Drosophila melanogaster: one gene and its partner. The protein of the gene in region 1 interacts with the protein of each later gene in a pairwise test. Each region holds a gene or a part of one and is shown in the gene's direction. Other genes may lie near its edges.

The links.
Region 2: the proteins of Nup62 (region 1) and CG13083 interact in a two-hybrid assay, tested with the Drosophila melanogaster proteins (one large-scale study listed by BioGRID).

What each region holds. Positions count from the first base shown.
Region 1 is NT_033778.4:16,342,861-16,346,474, forward strand, and holds Nup62 (nucleoporin 62kD), read left to right. Parts: upstream 1-1,516; 5' UTR 1,517-1,720; coding exon 1,721-2,905; 3' UTR 2,906-2,968; downstream 2,969-3,614. Other genes in the region: CG7997 (uncharacterized protein), read right to left, coding at 146-175, 235-326; wcd (wicked), read right to left, coding at 3,015-3,614. UniProt on the Drosophila melanogaster protein: Essential component of the nuclear pore complex. The N-terminal is probably involved in nucleocytoplasmic transport.
Region 2 is NT_033779.5:19,485,831-19,489,290, forward strand, and holds CG13083 (uncharacterized protein), read left to right. Parts: upstream 1-1,659; 5' UTR 1,660-1,693; coding exon 1,694-2,547; intron 2,548-2,604; coding exon 2,605-2,701; 3' UTR 2,702-2,861; downstream 2,862-3,460. Other genes in the region: CG13084 (uncharacterized protein), read left to right, coding at 1-67, 127-566; CG10194 (uncharacterized protein), read right to left, coding at 2,978-3,382.

The sequences.
Region 1 (3,614 bases):
TAAACAAAAGCGTTATTGCAGCGTAGCGTGTAGAGTTCATGCCAAGGCCTAATTTTTACTAACTATTAAAGTTTATTTATTTTAAATGTTAGACGTAATGATAATTCTTTATGATCTAATCTAGTTGCTGGTAAATATTTCTTACCGCTCCCAGGACATCCAGCCCATAGGTGGCCTAAAATCGACAGAATTTCAATTAAGTGGCCTAGAATCCAATCAAAATTTAATACTCACTTTAGTGCCAGGCCATTATCGAGGCCCATGGATAATTGCAGAACCTGCAGCAGAAGAATCCCGCCCAGAAAGACGCCCCACGTTCCGTACATGGCGAGCTAGTGGCACCGACTGAATCCTGGCCTTTGGGCACCCAGGGAATTTATATTCTCCAGCGGGCGGCACTCCAGATAACTCTGTTTGGCAGGGGCACCTGAGGAGCTGGAGGTAGGGGAATGGCACCTGAAGAGCTGACAGAAGGTTAGTGGCTAATTGCTATTGCAGCGGAGTACTCCCATCGACTGATTGGTGTTCGCCGGGTGGCGCAAACAGCGGGCTTTCTCGATTGCAGGAGGAGCCGGAGCCCCTTATCACGCCAAGTTCACAGCGATCACAGGGAGCAAATAGAGAAAATCGAGGAGAGACCGAGAACAGGGGCTTTTGATTCTGATATGCTTTTGTTGTTCAATTCTGGCGCTGCTTGCCAGCTACACTGGTCAACAAAGTTGGGGAAATAGTTGGAAGCATAGTAGACTAGAGCACGGTACTAGTGATGGGAAAACATGTACTAACAAAACATAGGAACTATGGTCTTTTATTAGAAAATTTTGATCTGGTTTTTAAGAATAATTTAAAATTTCTGTTTTTGAGGATCAGATCTCAGATCTTATGAAAATCTTAAAAAGAATCTTATTACAAAAAAAAAAAAAACCGAAGGTCAAAGACAAGCTCTAATTGTTGTACCGCATTACGTTTGTACCTTAGGTAATTTTTCTAATTTTGTGGCTGGCAGCTCTGAAGAGAACCTACACAGGTACGCAGAACGAACCTTCTGATAGGAAGCACACATGTGTTTAGCTGATTTAGCAAAATGCAATTACTGAACTGAGTGCCGCTGCACTTTGGGCTTGTAATTGAATTCTTTTGACCCAAATGTTACCTTATCGCCTTTGCACTTACAGATAGCAAAAGATGACTAATTAAAGCCGGTGTTTTGTTATTGATTTTGTTTGTACGATTGACTACGTTTTCTTTCTGAGTTGGTTTTTTTATTTAAGTTGCGCGGAATGATTTGTTCCATGTACGACTAAAACTGGAGCTAAAACATAGCTCTCGACCAGTGTTGTTTGTCGATTTCGCAAGTTAGTTGATCGCTGGTTAAAAAAACGGACACAGACATAAATATATTTTAAAAGTGCAAAAAGTGATTGCAAACGTTAAAATAATATAAATGTTTTGGTTTTCAGCATGTTTTAGTAACAAAAATGTATCGTCGACTGAGCAAAGTACTTCATTTGTATTGCCAATTCAAAGAAATTTAAAATTTAATTTTGCCGCCCAATCTTCAAACTGCTAAGTGTTTTGGCTTGAAAATAGCTAGCTTGAGCTCAAATTTAGTTGATTTCCAACACCGACAACATTGCGGAACTCCAAGGAGGGGTCACACTGGTTGCTTTTGGCGTGTTTCGTTTGATTTAGATTTATATTATTCGTCTTAAGTTTAAGCATGGTATTCCAGTTGCCAACAACAACCGCCGCCCCGACCGGAGGCGCAACATCGTCGTTTTCCTTCGGCCTCAGCACAGGAACACCAGCCGCAGCACCAGCTTCAGGAGCAGCAACCACGGCTCCCGCCACAAAAACCACATTCTCTTTCGGAACACCGGCACCTACTGCTGGTATCGGTGGCGGAGATGCAGACAACAGCAAGGCGCAGGCTCCACCAGCCTTTGGATTTGGCCTGGGATCCGGGACTGCTTCAGCTCCCCTCACGCTGGGCACTCAAGCCGCCGCAAATCCAGCGTCCACCACTTCTGCGACCGCGACTGGAACCTCTGCTGCTCCTCCCGCCTTCGGAGGCTTTACGGCTCAACCAGCGGCATCTGTGGTGCCAACTATAGCAACCAGTGCACCCAACACCGCAGCTACCACAACTGGATTGCTGGGCGGGTCTGGATTGGGAGCTCCCAAGACCACGGCCGCTGCGTCCACAACTCTGACTGCAGCTCCGTCGGCCATAGCCTCCACGCAGGGAGCTGCACCGGCCCCAACTTTAAGTACTGGTGGTGCTTTTGCCAATCTCACTACCGAAACCAAGACCACAGACTCATCGGCCGTTTCCACGGCATCCCAATTGTCCTACCACCAACTTGAGGAGCATATCAACAAGTGGACTCTCGAGTTCGAGGAACAGGAAAAGGTATTCACCGAACAGGCCACTCAGATCAACGCATGGGACAAACTGCTCATCAGCAACAACGGGAAGATCGTCGAGCTCAACGATGCCGTGAAAAAAGTGAAAACCGATCAGCAAGTGCTGGACCAGGAGCTGGAGTTTATAGCCACGCAGCAAAAAGAGCTTGAGGACAGCCTGGGACCGCTTGAGAAGGAATTCGTTAATCTCCCGAGGGTGGACATGGAACGCAGCCAAACCTACCTGATGGTGGAGAATCTGGACACACAACTGAAGCAGATGTCCGAGGATCTAAAGGAGATAATAGACAACTTGAACGAGGCCAACAAGGGCCAGGACACCACTGATCCCATCATACAGATCGGAAAAATCCTTAATGCCCATATGAATTCGTTGCAGTGGATCGAATCGCAGTCGACGAACATCAGCAAGAAGCTGGAAGACATTGGCAAGATTCAAGACTCCCAGAAACGCGATATTTTCCGAGCTCCTTTCTAAAGATAAGTCCCCTTAATTTGTTAACTTAAATAAAGATGGTTCCATTGTAACCACAGAAAGAGTAATGATTTTATTTAAGAATTTATTGTAAACATCATACTGCCTTCAATTAATAACCCTTGAAGTACTTAAGCCTAAAGAGCGGCACCTGTTTGCCCTTAGTGGCAAAGGCCAGGAAGCTGCTGTGCGGCGAAAAGGCCATGGAGGTCACAAAGCCAACCTTCTCGTTCTGTGCCGGGAAATTGGAGTACACAGTGGCGCTGGGGAAATGGGCCAGCTTAAAAGCATTCGGCGCCTCACTGGAGCACATCGCCAGTAGCTCAGATGAGTGATTGAACTGGAGATCCGTGATGGCAGTCCGTAGGTTCATGAAGCGCTTCTCGGGTTGTGGGGCCTTGGATGCGAAAATGCTCTCGTAGTCGTAGATGTTGACCACGCCCTCTTGACTGCCGGTGGCCAGTAGGCGTTGGTTGGGAGACAGTTGAATGGACTCTCCATGTATACAGCCGTCGTCCATGAAGATGTGCTCGATGAGGTTCTGGCGCAGGTTCAGCACGCTGACATTGGAAGTGGAACCGCAGACGAGGATCCTCTTGGAGTCACTAGACCATGTGAATCCCTTCACTTTGCCCTCCTGCTTGAAGCTGTGCAGCAGCTCATTTGTTTTGGCCGTGAGCAGGTGAATGGCTCCAAACTTGCCAGCAGTGAC
Region 2 (3,460 bases), on another chromosome or scaffold:
GCTCATCCTAAGCCCAAGCAAGTGGATCTGGAACAGGTGTGGAGCATCAAGGAGGAGCCCAAGCACGGTAAGTGGTCCTTATTGCCACCAGATTAGGATCACAAATTAATGGCTTGTCGTTCATAGGAGAGCACTCTGGAAACCACAAAGCTACCGCCTATGCCCAGTCCCCCGAGCCAAAGAAGAACTATCAGAGCTCCAGCGCCGTGTCCTGGCGGCAGACGGTGCCGTGGGAGTACGGATCCCCATACCAGTCCGCTCCAGTTCACCACCATCAGCCATGGAACCCAGCTCCGGCCCACGTTCCCACCTCCGTTACCAAGCCCAAGCCGTGCCCCAAGAAAGAGCACCCTACTCCGGCATCCTATGTTCCTTTGCCACATGACCAGCCTGAATCCTACAAGCTTCCTGTGGATTACAGTCCCAAACCTAACCACGAGCAACCTCATAAGCCCCACCACGAGCCACAGTCTTACAATGAGGAGATCTACAAGCCACAGCCCATCCAGCCAGGAGAATCCTTCAGGATTTGGTATGGAGACAGTTCCCTCCCCCAAGGATACTAAAGGAAGATTTAACTGGGACTACCACTGTTACTGAAACTGATACAACTTTTCAAAGCATTTAACAAACTCTTTTTTTTTAATTCAGATTCATTACTTTGTACAATTTTTATGTTTTATAAATAAATAAAAAAAAAGCAAAGGAAATACATTTTTGATTATATTCCTAGCAAGTAATTAATAAATAACTTTTGAGAAAAAATGCTATAGTTTCATGGAAATCATATGCATCAACTTTTAGCATCGTATGCGAAAATATACATTCAATTTCCAAAAACTTTTCTCAAAATCTATTCAAAATATACGAAGAAATTTTTGTTATTTTGTATGTTTTGTAGGTAAATAAATTCACCTTACTATTAACCTATGCTATTGTTTGTTGATAGAAGCAAATTTTAAAAATATTTTAAGCTTTTTTAAAAGTTAATAGTAAAGGATCCAAGTTTGTTTAAATTTGCAAAAGGCATCTTGGCCAATTTTTGAATAGGCATGATAATATGAAGGATAATTAATTATACTGCTGTTTTCGAAATAGGAAACAAAATATAGACTTATTAAACTTTTACAAAATTACTTTAGTTCGCTTTATTACTTTATTTCTTGTAAACGATAGACAGTATGCCCGAAAACATTTGTTACGTTATCATTACCTTCGAAGACCTATTTTCTGAATGAATTTGAACAAGAAGCAGCTGGGGCACGTTTTTCAGTGGTGTTATTACTACCGTAGCACACAAAAAACCGGGTCAATCTGTTCTGTTTAGAAACAAAGAAGAATTTTGAAACGTGACACTACACGGATTTTCCCTAACTTTACCAAGATGTCGATGAACCAATAACTATTTAGTACGACTACATGCAACATAATTCGCTTTAGTTCTTTCTTTTTACAAGATGATAAAACAGTTGTTCGCGACTATCTTCTTAGTAGTAGGGAAATTCTCGTAAACACACTATTACAGATTGGAGCAGCATTTGCACCTGCACCCGCTGAAGAGAAGTGGGTGGTGACCGAACTGATAGAACTTAACCCAGTCTAAGACACGTTTTGGACCTTAAGTTGGGCTACTTAAGTTGCGGTTCGGATCGAAAAGAGACACTCAGCGGGGAGCGGCCATCAGAGAAACACCATGAGAGTGCGACTGACTTTGCTAACGATATGCATTTACCTATGCGCGGCTGCAGCTGAGGATCTGGACTCCATCCATGAGATCCGCAGTGAGGTGGAGGAGCTGATCAAAGGTACGGAGGAGCTAAACCATGGGCTGCAGAAAGTGAAGGACGTGCAGAAGGGCATTGAAGAGAAGTTCAAGCATCAGCGCGACGAGATCGAACTCATTGCTGGATTGGAGGTTGCCATAGCCAAGCTGGAATCGAACGTTCAAAGCAGCTTCCAAGCCACGGCCTCTGGAGTGGGAAATTTGACAGCCATTGTTAACGCAATCCAGGGTCAGAATGAAAACTCTATTAGGAATCTTACCAAAGTGGAGCTAGAAATCAGGAAAGCCCTGGAACAAGTGGCTGCCAATCAGAACAAATACGAGCAGAACCTAAATGAAGTGGCCTCATCCGTCAACTCGCATCTGTCGGAGATTCAGCAGCTGCTATCACAGGCCGTCATAGGGGAACTCATCGGCTTGGACAATAAAGCGAAGGTCCTCCAGGAGCAGCAGCGCAACATCGTGGGTCAAGTGGGATATCTGGGCGAACTTAAGGCTCTGGCAGATCGTGCCAATCGCAAAGTCAATCAATTGGAGTGGGGTCTGGTCATTCTCAACCGCACTCAGTCCGAGAGCCTCAACAGCATCGAGCACACTGTCCATGGAGTGCAGGTGGCCACCTCACAGGTCGATCATAAACTGGCTGCCCTACTGAACAATCAGAAGAACATTGAAAGGACGCTGGATGGCTGCAAGCACAAAAATCCGTCACACCAGAAGCCCCACGAGATCTGGACTCACCCGGAACACGCACCAATTTACAAGTAAGTTTGTATGCCCTACTTCTGGGTGCACACTAAAACCACTCTTTTCATTTTAAGGCCAAAACCAGAGGGCAATCAAGGATACGAGAACGTCTATGCATCCCAAGAAGAGGCTGAATACCTATACAAACTTTGGTATGGAAAGGGCCAGTAGCATTAATACGAAAACTGAAGATAGATGTTTTATGCCATATTCAGAAATTGCTTGATTTCCTATATCAAATCCCAGCATGTCGATTCTATCTATCTTATATAATTGTATATTAAACCGTTCTGTAACACAATGTAATAAACAAGAGTAAATGGAGGAAATCGAACTTTATAAGTTGTATATTGCTAAAAAGTGTTATGTCCAACTTTATATATCAATTGTTGGAAAACTTATAAAACTAGATAAATGCACCTGACATAGAGGAAACCGGCTCTACCTCTATAATTTTGTTGGATCCAATGGATGAACCTGACCATCATCCCGCTCAAACTTAATTATCAGCTGCGACTGATGCTGGTTCCAGTGCTCCGATCGATGTAATTTAGCATTCGTCTTCGAACGGAATTCCTCGACTGACAAATCGATCTCAATTTTTTCGTTACTTGCATCCGGATCGGCGGGGTAAGCATCATCTCCTGGCAAGAGATGCACTAATCCATTTGTACACTTGTGCACTACAGGATGAATCAGCTGAATGCCTTTGACCTCACGCTCTGCTGCAAACTGACGCAGGTTATCTAAAGAGGAGAAGTTTAGGCAGCGCGAAAGTTCATAGAATTGTGGAGGCGGCAGCCAGAGTTCTTTTCTTAGGCTCGCTTGAAGGTAGTCCAATGGGGAACGCCACTACAATAATATAAATGATAGTACATTAAATGCAACTTAAAGGTTTCGCGTATCGCTCTTGTGCCGTATAATATCCCA